Linked DNA regions of Sus scrofa. The protein of the gene in region 3 interacts with the protein of the main gene of each other region in a pairwise test. Links are inferred from orthologs where the notes say so. Each region holds a gene or a part of one and is shown on either strand. Other genes may lie near its edges. The genes, in order: PEX12, PEX11B, PEX19 and PEX10.

Region 1 (4,314 bases), on a different chromosome or scaffold from region 3:
CATAAACCTAAGAGTGGGATCTATGATTAGGTGTTTATTTTTTGTTGGCTGTAGTAATTGACTTTTTTTTTTTTAACTGCCTTTCCCTTTTCTCATGTGATAATGTCAGTTTATTTTTGGAATAGTCTCAATGGGCTATTAAGTTGTCTTGCCATCTTTTGTCTAAGAGTGAAACAGGGAGTGGTGAGGAAATCCGAACCAAGGTAGGTCACAAGGAATCTGAATTGTAAGTACAGGGACAGAAAGAAATTTGTTGAACCTCATTCACGGCAACAATGATGCCTAGATGAGACTTTGCTAATTCTTGCGAGAAACATCCAGTAGGGCTGTATAATTACTGTACTTTCAGAGTTGGCTTTCCTTATTTTGTTAGCTACTCCATATTCTTCCGATAATTTTTTTAGTTTAAATTAGCTGTTTTCTGTTGCTTGTAGCCAAAAACCATAACTGATACAAGTTTAACTAACTTCCCATTCATCTTAGTTGATGCTATTTCTCAGCTTTGTCTTTTTGCTGTTACTTAAGAAAAGCCCATTTGTAACAGCTACCTTTGATCACATATCTAATGCCAAGTGCTTTATACATTACTCCAGTCCTTAAAACTCTGTAAGGTGTTCCCCTTGTGTCACAGCAGAAATGAATCCAACTAGTATCCATGAGGATGTGGGTTCCATCCCTGGCCTTGCTCAGAGGGTCGGGGATCTGGCATTGCCATGACCTGTGGTGTAGGTCACAGACATGGCTGGGATTCCACGTTGCTGTGGCTGTGGTGTAGGCTGGCAGCTGTAGTTCTGATTTGACCCCTAGCCTGGGAATTTCTATATGCCACTGGTATAGCCCTAAAAAGAAAAAACAAAAAACAAAAAAAACCTCTATAAGGTAAAACTCTTACATTAACGTGACTTTCTCCTGCAGGCGTTTTAGCAGAATATAAAACACTTTGTAGAACTAAAATCAAGGTTAACTTGCAAGATTTTATTTCTCCTCTTTGGATAATAAACTTTGTTTTCCACCATTCTCATTCTGTGAAACAATTAACTACCTTTATAAGGTCCTCTAAGGCAGTAACTAATAACCTCCTATGGAGTTCCCATTGTGGCTCCGCGGAAACAAATCTGACCAGTAACCATGAGGACACATATTTGATGCCTAGCCTTCCTCAGTGGGTTAAGGATCCGGTGTTGCCCTGAGCTGCGGTGTAGGTCCAAAATGCAGCTCAGATCTGGTGTTGCGTGGCTGCCACGTAGGCCAGTGGCGACGGCTCCAATTCAACAACTAGCCTGGGAATCTCTATGTGCCCTGGGTGCCACCCTGAAACAAAACAAAACAAAACAAATCACCTTCTATTTCTGGTTATTTGGGGGGGGGGAGGGGGCGTTGGAGAGAGAAGGAGATGAACTCTAACTTCATATAAATTAAACCTGCAGCAGCAACTCAACCAAGGCAATTGCATACGATGTAAAAGTACGTTGCAAATCCTAAGGTTAATTACATTCCTTCTGGTATACAAACAACGAAAACTATCTTCTCTGTCAAGCCTCCCCAGTTCACGCTAGTTAGAATTCATCTGATTCGTACCCAATATTCATATCGCTAAGGTAACACAGTCGACTGTGTACGAGCGTAGGAACCAGTTTGAACTAGCGTACCAAGTGCTTACAGTTATGCTTGAAAGAACCTAATCTAGAAGACTCGTCCCAACTTGTGAGTAACAAAAGATCTCTTCTCATCCTAATCATTTTTTTTTCTTTAAATAGCAATTGGCGACCATAAAGCTAAGGCTTCTATCTCCAATTATGTCGCTTCAAATCCTCCCCTAAGGCAGCAGAAAACGGTGAACCACCACCCTCGCCACGAGTACAGCGAGAGCCTTCCATCTTCACATTCCCTTGCGTCCCTCGACTCCTAAACTCGATCGCCCCAGGTAACAAACGCCTCTGTGGGCTGAGTTCTGGCTCCAGCCGCCAAACGTTGGTGCGGCGCCCTCAACACCCTGCTAAAAAGACTCTGCAGAGAGAGATCGGAACCGTAACTTTCCCATGAGGCGGCAAAACAAAAACAACTAGGAAAAGTAAAACCAACCAGCGGAGAACGGCTCTGCAAGCAAAACCCCTAGCGCCTTCTTTACTTTCAGCAGGAGGCGGAAGCGGAAGTCCCAGTGAGGCCATAGAGATCTCTAGTTCCGGTCTCGCGGTCGCATTCCGGGCTAGAGCGCCTCGCCTCGCCTCCGCCAGCCTTCTCCAAGCCCCGTGGTCTATTTCCGGTTGCGGCTTCTGTCATAAAGCGGAGACCTGCTTTCAAACGCTGTGTCGCGGGTCTCTGGCGCTTCGCAGGAGTCAGCGCGCTAGGACGGGAACAGGCGGGGGGGCTGCACTGCTCACAACTGAGCCTGACCGAGCGGACCCTCAGAGCCGCCTGGCTTTTGGAGCCTTTAAGATTGAAGTCTATGATTGACAGCTTCCAGGACTGCGGCTCGAGAGTTCAGCGCTCCTTCGCCCGTACCTGTCCCCCTCTGTCACACGCTCTACCCTGTGAGGTGCAGCATTAATCAAGTCACCCCCTCCCACTCGCCACTGCCACCCGCGTCTGCGTCAACTTGGTTCTTAACCTCCTTCACCCAAGAACCCCTCCCCTCTGCCTCCGGAAAAGGTCTTTTTTTGCCTAGTTCTTGTAAAATTAAGGGGGTATCCTGCAGAAAGTTATCTTCAAAACTGACACCATCTGATACTCCCCAAAAGTTCATGCTTGCTAGGGAGTTTGTGTGCAAAGCAAAACCCAGTGCACACAGGAAACTATGGCTGAACATGGGGCTCACATCACAACTGCTTCTGTAGTGGATGACCAGCCATCCATCTTTGAAGTGGTAGCCCAGGAAAGTTTAATGACAGCAGTGAGACCTGCTCTTCAGCATGTGGTCAAGGTAAGGATTTAATTCCCTGAAACGTTTTAGAGATGTCTGGGTAAAAACTAAACCAACATTTTTGAATGTATTTGTTGGCCTAAGTTTTTTTTGTTTTGTCTTTTTGCCTTTTCTAGGGCTGATTCCCGTGGCACATGGAAGTTCCCAGGCTAGGGGTCTAATCAGAGCTGTAGCCACCGGCCTAGCCACAGCCACAGCAATGCAGGATTCCGAGCAGCGTCTGTGATCAACACCACAGCTCACGGCAATGCCGGATCCTTAACCACTGAGCAAGGCCAGGGATCGAACCTGCAACCTCATGGTTCCTAGTCGGATTCGTTAACCACTGCGCCAGCACAGGAACTCCTGTTGGCCTAAGTTTTGAAATAACCAGTTTGCATATAATTCATATCCTATGATTTAACTGTTACTCGGGTCTCTGTTTTGTGTTGAGTGTTGTGTGTACTCAATACCCAGCACTTAAGGAAGCTTAAAATAGAATTTAGAGGGGAAAAAAAAGGAATTATAAATACAAGGCATAGTATATGTGTAATTAAATTTCGTTTATTTATTTTGCTTTAGGTTCTTGCAGAATCAAATCCTGCCCACTATGGCTTCTTTTGGAGATGGTTTGATGAAATTTTTACCGTGCTGGATCTTTTGCTCCAGCAGCATTATCTGTCTAAAACCAGTGCCTCGTTTTCTGAAAACTTTTATGGCTTAAAGAGGATTGTAATGGGAGACACACAGAAGCTTCAGAGATTGGCCAGTGCTGGTCTCCCAAAGAGGCAGCTCTGGAAGTCAATTATGTTCCTGGTTCTTCTTCCCTATCTGAAAGTGAAGCTGGAGAAGCTAGTTTCCAGCCTGAGAGAAGAGGATGAATATTCCATCCATCCCCCTTCTTCCCGCTGGAAGCAATTTTACAGAGCCTTCCTGGCAGCCTACCCATTTGTTAACATGGCCTGGGAAGGCTGGTTTCTAGTACAACAGCTTCAGTACATCCTAGGAAAGGCTCAGCATCACTCACCACTGCTGAGTCTGGCTGGAGTTCGCCTTGGGAGGCTTACAGTTCATGATATACAAGCTCTGGAGCACAAACCAGCTGAAGCCAGCATGATGCAGCAACCTGCTGGGAGGTAAGACCTTAACATTTCCCCCAAATCTTTGATTGATAAATTCTAAAAGCTTATCCAAATTTTATGAAACTCACCTCTCTCAGTCCACGTGGAGGTATTTCATAAAATCAGAGAAAAAAATTCTTGTGTCCATAAAACAAGGACTGTCATCCCGGTAACCTTCCTCATACTGGCTACATGTTTGTCCACACTCGCTAAAGGAAACTGTGCTAGATGTGTATATATCTCAATCCTCATCACAACTCAATGAAATAAATGCATTAGGACCATTTAACACCT
Region 2 (4,413 bases), about 9.2 Mb from region 3:
GGACTTTGTTGCTCTATGCTTGATAGAGCATTTGAATGCACCTGGAGGATGCACATTATTTTTTTGAACTGATGAATGAAGGTACCGCAAAGTTTTACCCAAAGCCCCTGATTTCACTGTCTTCTTAATGTCTTCCCATGTATGTTTCCTCCATGCCCTAGAATTTTTTTTGCAATAATCCAAAGAAAGCGGAGAAGGTGGGATTAGGAGGATACAAAAAAATGGAAGCCAACTGTAGTAAAAATAAAGGCTTGTAGCAGAAAATACAAATTAATGATCTTAACTTGCGGAAGAGATAGCAGAGTCTCTCCGTTGAGGATTAATGGTGACCACGGCCAAGCACGCTCCTTGAATCTGAAGGCTCATGTGGTGCACCCAAATTCTTGTCCGGTGTAGCCCTGAGTCCCGACAAGTTACTCACCTGAGGCAAGGCAAGAAGGAAACTGAGTAGCCAGGCTGCCCCCAGAAGTTTCCTTCCAGCTGAGCGGGGTCCAAGCGGGTGTAGTACGGCTGCCTGGCGGTCGAGCCCAATGACCACAGGCAGGAAAGCTGCGGCATACATGGCCATTAGTTTCAGGAACATGAGTGTTCGACATGCGATGTCCCCGGCCAGCCACTGAACAGTGATATTCCAGGAGGCATCTAGGGGCATAACCACAAAAGTAACCAGTAAATCGGCAGCTGCTAAATGAGCAAAAAGTCGTCGTACCGGAGAGGGGCGGAGCTGGCTGGGTTGCGGCCGTGTCACCGACCACAGTACGGCCAGGTTTCCTCCAGCCGAAGAAACAAATAGCACAACGGTCACTCCAACCCGGACCTTAGCTGCAACTGAGAAGGTGGGTAGCTCTGAGCTCTCCACCTCTACTCCTGATCCCGCCCAGACCTCTTCCCCCACTGCTGACCCCAAAGGGGTGCCATTGCCTGCAGACATGGTGACATGGAAGGGAAAGGGATGGGGGGATGAAGTGTGGGTTTGAAGAGGTTAGCTGAATCCACTCATTCTTCTTTCCTTTTCAGGATCTGGAGTTGGTTATTTCGCGAACTTAGTCCACTAAAGCCTCTGAATCTGGAGATTCTCCGTATGTATTCTGGAGGTCATCGGTCCAAGTGTTAGAATCCTGCAGGGAACAGGGATCTGGTGCTGGCTTTTACTTCCACAGACTTCTCAAGCCCCTAGGGCATCCTAAATTAGGGGAAACCTTATCCTAGCGGCCGCGGCAAGAGCACTGCGGCACCTTCTCGCTCCGCCCCCCATCCTGCAAGCCCCGCCCTTGGCCTCGAATGTTTAAAGAAGAATGTGCCTCTGGAGGCGTACTTAGGAAATAGAGATCAGCTGATAAGAAGGCGAGCTAACGGAGGCACCCACAAAAACACGCAGGTGTAGGCCCAGAGACAAGTGCTTCTAGTTCCGAAACTCCGCTTCTGTGGCTGGCTCCGTTCAAATTTCTTTTTGACGATGTTTGTCCCTTGCGCGACACCGTTGGGCCGTCCGGTAGGCGTGACTAGGGGCGGGAAGTGGGCGGGGGTGGGGCTGCGGAGCCGGGGCCGCCGCTGTCATGGACGCCTGGGTCCGCTTCAGCGCTCAGAGCCAGGCCCGGGAGCGGCTGTGTAGGTGCGGCCCGAACAGGAATGGGGGAGGGCGGGCAGAGGAAGGTCCTCGTGAAGCGAGGACAGTTCACACTACGGGGGTCAAAAAGGGTCATCTTGGGCTACGGGGGCCCGGACGGACCGCGAGGGGTTGATTTGAACCAGCCGTGAGGCCGTGATTCGTTTTTGCTCACGGGAAAGATGGGAAAACTGAGGCACGAGTGGGCCAGCGGGGAGGTCGCTCAGGGATGCGCGTTCACATGAGACTAATACTTCCCTCGCCGGGTGGTGGTGGCGTGAGGAGCATCCGCCCCGTGGTTGATAGCGACCTGAACTCTGTCCCCAGAGCTGACCAGTCGCTCCGAAGTTTCCGTGTCCCCTCATCCTACTGACCCGCGAACTCTTCTGCCTCCGTCCTGCCTTCTAGTCTCGATTCCCCTCAAGAGCCTTGGAAATCTCTCAGTTCACCTTTCTGAAGAATTTCCCCTCCAGCTATCCCCCACTCCCTCACGTGGACACACACATGTTCACACTAGAAGTGCTTGTGATGGACGCCTTGCCACCTTGTCCTCTTCGGGCCTCATGTAGTCAAATCTCTTATTTTCTCAATTCTAAGTAGTGCTACCCAAACTCTTCGAGGCTCCTTTTTATCCTTATGCCTTTCTTTTCCCCTGCCTGGAGATAGAGCTTGAGGAGGAAAGGGAGTAGTCTCAAATTGGAAAAAGGGGGAATCCAGACTTGCCTTTAGGAGGACGTTTTTGAGGGGGAGATTAGGGAGGTCTCCACCTTACATTACCGCTCACTCTCTCCTCCAGGGCCGCCCAATATGCTTGCTCCCTTCTTGGCCATGCCCTACAGAAACATGGGGCCAGTCCTGAGTTACAGAAACAGATTCGACAGCTGGAGGGTCATCTGAGCCTAGGAAGAAAGCGTAAGTAACCATGCCTCTTGGAGTTCCCTGGTGGCGTGGTGGTTAAGGGTTCTGCTTTGTCATTTCAGTGGTGCAGGTTCAGTCCCTGGCCCAGGGACCTCTCCATCCTCCTGGGCAGCTTAAAAATAGAAAAAGAAACAAAAAAAGCTGTTCCTGTCCTTTCATTATTTTATTTCTTTTTTTTCTTTTTTTTTTTTTTTTGCCTTTTTGCCATTTCTTGGGCTGCTCCCAGGCTGGGGGTCCAATCGGAGCTGTAGCTGCCAGCCTACGCCAGAGCCACAGCAACGCGGGAGCCGAGCTGCGTCTGCAACCTACACCACAGCTCATGGCAACGCCAGATCGTCAACCCACTGAGCAAGGGCAGGGACCAAACCCGCAACCTCATGGTTCCTAGTCGTATGCGCCAACCACTGCGCCATGACGGGAACTCCATGCCTTTTCATTATTTTAACACTTCCTCCCTCCCCAGCTATTCTTCCTTTGTTCTGCCCTGTTTTTTGGGGTGTTTTGTTTTTGTTTTGCATGTGGAATTTCCTGGGCCAGGGATCGAACCCACGCCACAGCAGTGAACAGAGCCACTGCAGTGACAACTCTAGATCCTTGACCCTCTTAACCGCAAGAGAACTTCCTTCCTGTTTTTGACCTTTTCTTCCAATTGTCCCTCATTTGCCCTTGCACTTATCTTCTGCATGTCTCCTGAGTAAGATAAAAGAGCAGGGGTAAGAGTAATGAAGGATTGGAGAGAACAGGGCAAATTTGAGAAAACTAGTGCCACAGAAATTAATTAAAACTTGTAAAAAAGAATGAACTGTTTCCGCTTTTCTTTTAAATTGTTATTATTGTTTCTATCACTTGCTCGACTTTCACTTTCTTTCTTTCTTTCTTTCTTTCTTTCTTTCTTTCTGTCTCACTCTCTGTTTGCCTCTCTCCTCCCAAATTTTTGCTTTTCCTTTCTAATCCCCACAAGTTCTACGCCTCGGTAACTCAGCAGATGCCCTTGAGTCAGCCAAACGAGCTGTGCATCTATCAGATGTTGTCCTGAGATTCTGCATCACTGTTAGTCACCTTAATAGAGCTTTGTACTTCGCCTGCGATAATGTCCTGTGGGCCGGAAAGTCTGGACTTGTTCCCCGTGTGGATCAGGAGAAGTGGGCCCAGCGTTCATTCAGGTTTGATATGCTTTTGTCCTGCAAGACTTTTTATATTCTCCATACTGTATAGCCCACCATTCATGAGAGAACAATCTATCCCAGCACATATACATCTTAATCACTTAATCTTTCATTTAGATCTTAAACCATCAGAGAATCATGAATGGGAGCAGATGGAAGACAGATGCTCTCTCATGATGGGTGACTAAGATTGGGCAAAATGAGATATTAATAATATTACTTTAATTTGGCTTCTATCTGTAAAACAGTTTATGTCCCTCACTGCCTGCTAATTCATTCATTCTAAAAATATTTAGTAGCTGCTTACTGTGAGCCAGGGAATAATAAAGCAAAGAGTCAAATAGGAATGGTTCATGCTCTCATGAAGCTTCTAGTCTAGTAGGGGAGTCAGTTATTTAAAACAAGTAATCACCAAACCATATATTTGTGGAAAAGTGTAGAATCTCATGAGGTATCTAACAAGGGGAGCTAATGTAGATCAAAAGGTCAAGGAAGAACTCTTTGAGAAAATTAAATTTTATTTCTGAGTAGAAGTTATACAAAGCAAACAGTAGCAGAGAAGACCATTCCAAACAGAATATAGCACATTCTAAGACCTTGAACCAAGAAAGGCTTAATGGAATTAGAGACATAGAAAGAAAGCCAGTGTGTTCTTAATGGAATTAGAGACATAGAAAGAAAGCCAGTATTGAGTAAGGACTTAAGTTCAAACTGGAGAGATAG
Region 3 (4,488 bases):
GGTGTGACTTTTAAAGTCTGCTCTATATGTCAAGGAAAAAGTAAGTACCTAATCTGGTGCTTGATGCAGTACTCAAGCGTGTGTTTAGAAAGCTAAGGATGAAAGTCATGAAGTGACTTTTTTCAATTAGATGTGACTTCTCCCTTTTAAACTTTATGGTACTTTATCCTTACTTCTTTTAAGACACTTAACCTTGCACCATACTTACTGTGTATGTCTAATCCTACCACCAGCCTAATCCCCAGTCAACTGCTTTACTGCAAGAGTGCAGCTTGACTTATCTCTCCATCCTCCACTATGCCCAGCGCAGGATTTTTTAAAATGTTTTTTATTTTTTTTGGAGTTCCCCGTCGTGGCTCAGTGATTAACGAATCCAATTAGGAACCATGAGGTTGAGGGTTCAATTCCTGGCCTCACTCAGTGGGTCAAGGATCCGGCGTTGCCATGAGCCGTGGTGTAGGTCACAGATGTGGCTCGGATCCCACCCACGTTGCTGTGGCTCTGGCGTAGGCTGGCGGCTACAGCTCTGATTAGACCCCTAGCCTGGGAACCTCCATATGCTGCGGGTGCAGCCCTAGAAAAGACAAAAAGACAAAAAAAAAAATATTTTTGCTACACCCGCAGCATGCATAAATTCCCAGGCCAGGGATTGAACCGGAGTCACAGCAGTGACAACACCAAATCTTTAACCACTAGACCACCAGGGAACTCCTAGCACAGGATCTTAAACAAGAGTAGATGCCTTGTAAGTGCTAAAATAGGTTTTCCTGAGGCAGTTGATGCATTCTGACAAATCTGAATAGAACAATTCCAGAGGAGGGAAGGGAAGTCTGGAGTTGTCTTTTATCTGAGCATCCCCCAACTTCATTGGGTTGAGTCCTGTGAAGAGAAAAGACAATAGGTCAAAGAAGGCAGGTTTATTACTACTGCATTCCAGTTGCCCTCTTCACTTAAGTCCAAGGTCCGAGAGTCACTTACTCCCTGGTTCAACTAACATTGGGTTCTAAGTTCTTGTGACATTTCTAATGGAGAATACAAAATGAGAGCTATCCACTAGATTCTGCAGAGAAGCATGCCTCACTAGAGCCTTGGAGAGCAAAGAGCAGCCAATGAGTGCCCACTAAGTTTTGGGCCCTAGCCAAGGAGCCGGGGTTACAGCAGTGAAGACAAGAGATGAAATCCTTTCTGTCATGGTGCTTTAATTCCAAGGAGCCTGGGGGAGAGACAATAAAGATAAATCAGTAAAATATGTAATATGTCAGATAGTGGTTAAGTGTTGAAAAAAAGAGGCGAAGTAGAGAGGAAGCATCTGTAAGTGTATGGGAGGGGTTGCAATTTTATTTAATGAGGCCAAAGAAGGCATTTCCGAGAAGGTGGCATTTCAGTAACATACTGAAGAAAGTGAGAGGAAAATAGCATATTGGCTGTGCCATAACTGTCTTACTGATTATACATGCATAGCTTTTAGTTTGCACGCAATTTGTCCCAGTCGACCTACCCGCAGCTCAAAAAAATAATGAAAGGCCCAATTCTGTAGGTAATGTGGGCAGTTGAAAGAAAGGAGGCCGGGCCAGTAAAAACCCTGACAGAAGATAACAGTAAATTCCCCTCTGTTGGTTCAGTGTTCCCGGAGAAAGAGGCGGGGAGAGGGGAACCCCAAACAAAAACAAAGGTTCCTGTACCTTTAAAAATGGCGGCCCCTCGGGCCAACAATATCATTGGTTGCACGAGGCAGGGGGGCAGGAACTGGGGGGCGCACGGCGCCGCGCAGTCCCGCCTCCTACGGCAAGTCGGAGGTGGCAAGATGGCCGCCGCTGGGGAGGGTGGTGGTGTTGGGGCTGAAGCGGACCGGGAATTGGAAGAGCTTCTGGAAAGTAAGAACCCGTAATAGAAAAGGCCTGAAGGGCGGGAGGTGTGAGGACGCATTCAGGGGGCCAAGTGAATCCGAGATAAAGGAGGCGGAGCGGGAGAGGCTCTTCAGAGGTTGGGCGGGGGCGGAGGGTCTGACTGCGACCCCCTAGAAAATCTCTAGGTCACCCTCTCCTTCCTCCTTGGCGGAGGCTGAGGATCGCATTTGCGTCCCTGTGCGGCCTAGACGGTTGATCTCCTTGCCGGAAGGGAAACTAGTCCAGAGGACGATGTTTCGGGATCCCGCTCCAAACTCCCCCTACTTTAGTAAGTTCTTGGAAGCCTAACTTTCTTCCCGCCAGCAACCACATTCGGTGCTCGGTGGGCAGAGAACTGGACACCCATGGGATTGCCTCCATTAACTCTTAGCAAGCCCGAAGCGTGCCTTTATGTGCAGTATCCTGTCCTCCTTAACACAAAAGACACGTCTTTTCCTTTTCCCAGACCTTTTTCGCACCAGGCTCCTTTCCAATTTTTTCATCATTTCAGAGCTCAAACCCATTCCTATCTCTTTAATTTGAGAACCAGAGTGAGACTGCCTCAGGGGAAGGCAGTTCACCCTCTCGAAAGTGGGTGGCGGAACTTTTCTTCCTTAGCCCCATCCACCACTCCTCTTTTGGTTTCTTGCCCAGAGTGGGGCCAGTGCCCTACCCCTAGGCCTGGCAAGCAGGGTGATGGTGAGGACACAGGCTTTTCAGGGAAGAGGTGAATATTTTTTGTCTCTTGCTGAGTCACAGAGATGTGAGCAGGTGGAAAGACGAACAGAAACGGTGAGAAGTGCCAGGCGACTGTGTGAATTGGCAGACACGGGTGTAGGCAGAGATGAGGCCAAAGGGAGCTCTAGGAGCTTTGGAGAGGGAGAGCTAAATTGAAAGATAAAAGAAGAGAATTCAGTGCCCTCCAATGGTGTGTAATATGGAGTCTCTCAGCTTGTACAAGGACCTATGCGAAGCTAGGTGAAACATCTTGTGGCTTCTGCTCTCTTGCCCAAGATTACTCCCTTGAGGGCTCCAGAGTGAGTTCAGAGGGTTAAGGACATCTGGTCTCTGCCTCCCTTGGATATTTGCATGGGATTTCTAGGGAATCATTAAAGTATGGCAGAGAAGGCACTGTGTCGGTGGAGGTGTCTCTGCAAATCTTTTAACTCTTCTCCTAACTCCAAGAGAGATGCTTGTTCCACCTTGAGGGATGTCTTCCCCTTTATCACATTAAATTAGACAATAGGTAGGGAAGTGGGAGGCTTATTGAGGGGTGGGCTGGGAGACTTTTAAAGGAGAAAATTTTAGGAAAGTTGACAGTTTGTACTCTTAATGTTTTGCCCAGAAACTCCCAACCTTTCATCCTCATCCATCCCCAAAACACCCCATGTTTCTTGTCTCTGAAGGTGCTCTTGATGATTTCGATAAGACCAAACCCTCCCCAGCACCCCCTCCTACCACCACGGCCCCTGATGCTTCGGGGCCTGAGAAGAGATCTCCAGGAGACACTGCCAAAGTATAAATTCCACTCGCTTAAGGGATGGGGAGGGGATGGGCATGCAGCTCTGGGCAGAGGTGGGGAAGGCCCCTGTGGGCCAAAGGGGAGTTGGGGGAGGGTGCCTTGGCCTTACATTGCAAAGTGCTCTTGCAGGCCTCAGTCCTCATGAAACAGGAACTTGAGATTGAGGGGAGGGATCTCAAGGTTAAGTTCCTTAAGAAGAGAGCAGATTTAAATGGTTGGATTGGGAATGCCACTCCATACCCTTCCCTCAGTGGCCAGATGCCTTTTTGCTGTCCTCTTTAAGAGAGGTGGTCAATGTCCAGTGGAGGTGAGTAGGAGGGGAGCACTACATTTCCTAGAGCTTCTCTCAGAGGCCATGTGCAGTGAGTTGCCAAGTAAGAGATGCATTTTGGTCACATCTCCCCTGCAGGATGCCCTCTTCGCCTCCCAAGAGAAGTTTTTCCAGGAGCTGTTCGACAGCGAGTTGGCTTCCCAAGCCACTGCAGAGTTCGAGAAGGCAATGAAAGAGTTGGCTGAGGAAGAGCCCCACCTGGTAGAGCAGTTCCAAAAGCTCTCAGAGGCTGCTGGGAGAGTGGGTGAGAAGGGGGCCCTAGACAACTAGAAATATCTGAACAAACCTCTTAGGTCATTGTTTCTTGAGAACACCAAAATTTTTTTGTAAAGTTGATAGTAATTATGATATCACTGCCATCACAACCATGTCACTGATATCACTGAAGGGAGGAGATGGGAGGAGAAATGAGACCCTGTTTAATGAAAGGGGTAGTTGGGAAATGATAGTTTGGGAAGTAACAGATGAAATTATTGACAGCTGACCATTTTAAAGGTCACAGTGTTAATGTGGGTGTCACTGTGGAGAACAGACTGACACACAGTCCACATAGATTTGTGAAAATAACTGTGGAGATAACCATAGAAAATTCAAAGATGTAGCGTGCCAGTGATTCACTAATAAATGCTCCATATTCAAGCTGGAGTATTCAAGATTGACCAGGTCAGTCTAGGCAAGCAAACAGTTGAAATCAGAAATGGCCTTGACTCTTTTTATCTCTCCTAGGCAGTGATGCGACTTCCCAACAA
Region 4 (4,563 bases), on a different chromosome or scaffold from region 3:
AGGATGAGGGTATGATCCCTGGCCTTGCTCCATGGGTGAAGGATCAGGCGTTGCTGTGAGCTGTGGTGTAGGTCACAGACGCAGCTCAGATCCCGTGTCTCGTGAGCTGTGGTGTAGGCCGGCACCTGTAGCTCCGAGTAGATCCCTAGCCTAGGAATTTCCATATGCCACAAGCGTAGACCTAAAAAAGACCAACAAATAAAAATAAAAAATAAAAAATACTCCAGCTCCAACTTGGTGCCAGTGGACACAGGCCAGGGCGTCTCTGTGGTCAGGAAGGAGCAGTGTGTTTCAGCCTGTTGGGTGAGGACTGACCAGAAATTTCTGAGGCATCAGTGTCTCCCCCAGGCCCCGCTTGTGAGTCTGTCCACCCCAGGCTGGAAGCCAAAGGAGCAGGCAGCCTCTGCGTTCAGGAAACAGGGTGTACCCACAGGCAGGGGTGCCACTCTGAAGGGACAGAGGCGCTTCATTAGCAGGAAGGACTGTGGGACCATCCAGCTTCTGCCCCTTCCCTCTAAGAGCTGCCTACAGCTGTGGGGCCCCGATAAGCTCTAGACTGTGCCCACAGCTCAATTCCAGGGGGTTGAGCTGCACCAGCCTGGGCACGTACCCACAGCTGATGCCGGGATACAGGAGCAGAAGTGAAGCCAAGAGCTGCAGCCTGTCTCAAGCCACGGCCTGCTGGCCAAAGTCACTGCTGGTGACTCCCCCACCCCCTAGGTTCACCTGCATTTTTTCTCTCCTGCTGGTCCCACAGCCCCCCCTTTGTGCCCACAGGACGGGGCCCTTTTTCACTGGGACCCCTCTGGTCTGGGGCACAGATGCAGATGTTGTGACCTGCTCCAGGCCCAGAGCCCTCAGGGTGCCCCACTTCCTCCTCCCACTGTCCTCCCCCGGGGCTCCTCCCTGGGTCCTCCTTGCAGCTCAAATCCAGCTGTGCCTGTGCCCAGGTGCTAGTCTCTCCTACCTCTGTCCCCCCTAGTGCATGGCCTCCCAAGGCCCCCAAGTCTCCCTCGGTCCCACTTATGAGAGCAGCTCAGAGAGGTCAGGGGTCTGCACTTGTGGGGCCTGGGGGGCCACCAGTATAAACACCGTAGTTCAAGAATCCGTACTCCTGGCCCCGCCCTGGGCCCCAGATCCTATTCCGCCAGCCCGCGGGGGGCGGGGGGTGGTCGCAGGGATTAGAGCACAAGGGATGCCAGCACCCCGCGGAGGGCACTGCAAGGAGAGGGAGCAACGCCCTCCTCACTTCCTGCCCCAGAGAGCGGACGACTGTCTCCGCACCGGGGAGGGCGCCCGCGCCGGCTCTGACGTTCCTCGCAATACCTGAGGGCTGTCCCCATGGCCCCTCGCCCCCATGCCCCGCCTATCCGCCCCTCCTGCTCTGCGCCTGCCCTCCCCCGGGCCGCGATCGCCCCGCACAGACCCGACCCGGCACAGAGCCGGGCGGGCTCGGCTTTGGCCTCTGCCGCCCCGCCCCGCCCCGCCCCGCCCCGCCCCGCCCCGCCCCGCCCCGCCGGCTCGGCCCCGCCCCGCGCGCTGTGACGCTCAAGGTCTGTGCCGCGCGCCACGCCGAGCCCGAGCCCCGGCCGTCATCTGGCGCCGCCGCGTGGGCGTGGCCGTCTCCGTGTCGCCGAGGCCGCAGGTCCCTTCGACTCCAAGCCCTCGGCGATGGCTCTTACGGCCGCCAGCCCCCCGGAGGTGGTCCGTGCGGCGCAGAAGGACGACTACTACCGCGGCGGGCTGCGGAGTGCGGCGGGCGACGCCCTGCACAGCCTGGCGGGTGAGGCCTCTGGGGGGGCCCGCGGGTGGTCCTGGGCGCCAGGCTGGGGGGCCAGGCGGGCGGACGAGCCCCAAACCCGTCGGCTCGGCCACCGCGGGCTCGGCCAGGCCCTGCGCGCCGCGCTGAGACCTGAGCTGCAGGAAGAAGCGAGCGCCTCGGTCTTCGCCCCCGGCTGCCGGGGGCGGGGTGGGGATCAGGCGCCAGCTGTGGGAGCGTCCACGGCTCTGGGGACACACGAAGGCCCCCGTTGAGCAGCGGCAGTGGAGCCCAGTGGACGGACGAAAGCCTGGGGTGGATTTTGGCCCACAGCTGGGCTGCTACTCGGAACAGCCGAGGCGAGGCCGGACCGTAGATTCGGGACTTGGGTGGCCGTCAGCAGGGAGGCACCCACTTGTGTATTTATTTTTGCTAATTTTTTGCCTTACTTTGTGTCAGACCCTGTTCTCTGTGCTTCAGAACATTAACTTCTTTTATTCTGAACACATCCCTGCAAGTTAGGACCTGTTACTGACAGGGAAATGTTGTAACTTGCCTGAGGTCACTGCCATTGTTGTGGGGAGCTAGGATTTGATGCTGGACGGTGGGCTCAGCTTGAGCTTCTGGTCACTGTACTACCCCGTCTGTCCTTGTGGCCCTTCTGGGCTCTGGAACAGTTGCCCAGGTGGGTCCTGGAGGGGGAGAGGGCTGTTGGTGGGTAGGTTCTCAGGACACTCAGCGGCCCAGGTGAGGCAGGTATGGATGGAGCAGAGTGGACAGCACAGAAGGCCAGGGAGAGAACAGAGTGTGGTTTAGACCAGTCTCAGCCATTGGAGCGGGGACTGGGCGGGGCCCTGGCAGCAGGAGAGAGAGCTGTTTCTAATTCTCACCAGCGCACCGCCTCACCCCCCGGCCCTCAGTAACAGGCTCTCTCTTCTCTCAGGTGCGAAGAAGTGGCTGGAGTGGAGGAGAGAGCTCGAGCTGGTGTCGGATGTAGCCTACTTCGGCCTCACCACACTTGCAGGTAGCAGCCCCAGGCGGGACCGAAGGACCCACGACACACCCAGAGGACAGGAGAGGGGCTGCCAGCCAAGGAAGGAGCTTCTGGAGGTGCTTCCTGGTGTCCCTGGCCCAGACCAGCCTCAGGGAAGCAGAGCCCCTTCCCTGGATGAGAGGCCAGGCCCAAACCCAGGCCAGGGCCCCTGGAAACTGAGAGTCCTGTCATGCAGGCCCCGGGACTGTGTGTCTGTGGCTGAACTCATGGCCCCGGGGGCCCGCCCTGAGGGAGCCTCGTCTTTTAGAGGAGGGGCGGCCGTGGTAGAGGGAAGGAGATTGCTGCCAGGTCCCCATCCCCCACAGGCTACCAGACCCTTGGGGAAGAGTACGTCAGCGTCGTCCAGGTGGACCCGTCCCAGAGCCGAGTGCCCTCCAGGCTGCGCCGCGGGATCCTGGTGGCTCTGCACACCGTCCTGCCCTACGTGCTGGACAAGGCCCTGCTCCACTTGGAGCACGAGCTGCAGGTGGCCGGCGACAGCACCCGGCCCACGCAGGGCAGCCTGGCGCCCACTGCACGCAGCCAGTCAGCCCCAAGGCGCTGGGTGCGCAGGCGGACGGCCACCCTGACGGAGCAGCAGCAGAGGGCGCTTCTGCAGGCCGCGGGGATGCTCAGGCAGGTCCTTGGCTGCCTCCGGCGGCTCCACGTTGCCTGGTTCTACATCCACGGTGCCTTCTACCACCTGGCCAAGAGGTTCACTGGCATCACCTATGTAAGTAACTGGTGCCACCTGGACCTGCTCGGTTCTGGCTCATCAGCAGGGAGCTGGCTTTTCCGGGCCTCTGTCCACGAGCAGTCACAGGCCTGGAGCCAGAACCTTCCATGGGAAACATGGGTTGTGTCGGCTCCATTTTGCCAAAAGGCCCACGGAAGTCTGCTTTCCATAAACCCTGAAGGTCGGGCTGGTCTGTCTTCCTGCAGCCTGCGCTTGAACTCTGTGCCAGGCCTGCCTCCCACGCCCCTTCCAGGCTGCCCGCCAGAGTCAGGTATAGGGACCCCGGTGGTGACCCCGCAGCAACCACGAGGCCACCCTGCTGCCAGCATCCCCACCGGTCTCCACCCTCCACCTGCAGATGCCCCTTCCCTTCGGGGTCTCAGCTGCCGCCCTTGCTTCCAGATTCACCCTGAAGGCCTCCCCAAGGGTCTGCAGGCGCCCCGCCCCAGGCCTCGCTGTGCCGGCTCTGTTGGTTGAGGTGTTTGCTGAGCTGCTGCAACAGACACAGGGTGCATCCAGTCAGGGTGTCAGGCTCCAGGCTCCAGCTGTGTGGCTGACCTGACTGTCCCCACTTCCAGCCAAGGCAAGGAGATGGACGTGCAGGGCAGGCCCCTCCCCCTCGAGGATGTGGCCTCAGTGTCCTCAGCTGCAGGAGGGGCCGGGTGGTGCCTCGCTCTGTTCCTTGGACAGGGCCACGCAGCCGTGTCTGCAACACTGAGCCCGCGCCTGTCCACTGGGTGTGCTCCTCAGGCTCGTTTGCCTCCGAGGTCTGGGTGCCTGGCCGTCCCCCTCACCCTGCGGTCCTCCCTGCAGCCAGTGTGACCTGCAGAGTCTGACCCCTGGGCTCTCATCCTCACTCAGCACTCGGCTCCCCGGGGGACCAACGGGGCCACCACTCAGTGCTCAGAGCCGGCAAGGAGCGTCTGCTCCCCGAGCAGCCAGAGGCCAGTGGTCCCTCTCCATCCTCCTTGTGCCAGAGGGTGGGCCAGGGCTTCATTCACCCGGGAGGCCTGGCCCTGGGGCGGTGGGTGCTTT

What was found.
Region 1: the proteins of PEX19 (region 3) and PEX12 interact in a two-hybrid assay, tested with the Homo sapiens proteins (4 studies listed by BioGRID and IntAct, with this or other methods). The link is inferred for Sus scrofa from reciprocal best matches to the Homo sapiens genes PEX19 and PEX12.
Region 2: the proteins of PEX19 (region 3) and PEX11B interact in binary tests that used the Homo sapiens proteins (3 or more experiments, as listed by UniProt). The link is inferred for Sus scrofa from reciprocal best matches to the Homo sapiens genes PEX19 and PEX11B.
Region 4: the proteins of PEX19 (region 3) and PEX10 interact in a two-hybrid assay, tested with the Homo sapiens proteins (4 studies listed by BioGRID and IntAct, with this or other methods). The link is inferred for Sus scrofa from reciprocal best matches to the Homo sapiens genes PEX19 and PEX10.

The regions. Positions count from the first base shown.
Region 1 is NC_010454.4:39,930,359-39,934,672, forward strand, and holds the start of PEX12 (peroxisome assembly protein 12), read left to right. Parts: upstream 1-1,321; 5' UTR 1,322-2,794; coding exon 2,795-2,920; intron 2,921-3,481; coding exon 3,482-4,035; intron 4,036-4,314. UniProt on the Homo sapiens protein: Component of a retrotranslocation channel required for peroxisome organization by mediating export of the PEX5 receptor from peroxisomes to the cytosol, thereby promoting PEX5 recycling.
Region 2 is NC_010446.5:99,413,898-99,418,310, forward strand, and holds the start of PEX11B (peroxisomal membrane protein 11B), read left to right. Parts: upstream 1-1,505; 5' UTR 1,506-1,556; coding exon 1,557-1,612; intron 1,613-2,402; coding exon 2,403-2,518; intron 2,519-3,485; coding exon 3,486-3,687; intron 3,688-4,413. Other genes in the region: GNRHR2 (gonadotropin-releasing hormone (type 2) receptor 2), read right to left, coding at 422-931. UniProt on the Homo sapiens protein: Involved in peroxisomal proliferation. May regulate peroxisome division by recruiting the dynamin-related GTPase DNM1L to the peroxisomal membrane. Promotes membrane protrusion and elongation on the peroxisomal surface.
Region 3 is NC_010446.5:90,195,301-90,199,788, forward strand, and holds the start of PEX19 (peroxisomal biogenesis factor 19), read left to right. Parts: upstream 1-1,685; 5' UTR 1,686-1,690; coding exon 1,691-1,874; intron 1,875-3,292; coding exon 3,293-3,402; exon of another isoform or gene 3,403-3,619; coding exon of another isoform or gene 3,620-3,715; intron 3,716-3,817; coding exon 3,818-3,983; intron 3,984-4,465; coding exon 4,466-4,488. UniProt on the Homo sapiens protein: Necessary for early peroxisomal biogenesis. Acts both as a cytosolic chaperone and as an import receptor for peroxisomal membrane proteins (PMPs).
Region 4 is NC_010448.4:64,314,678-64,319,240, reverse strand, and holds the start of PEX10 (peroxisome biogenesis factor 10), read left to right. Parts: upstream 1-1,562; 5' UTR 1,563-1,671; coding exon 1,672-1,783; intron 1,784-2,702; coding exon 2,703-2,783; intron 2,784-3,118; coding exon 3,119-3,525; exon of another isoform or gene 3,526-4,563.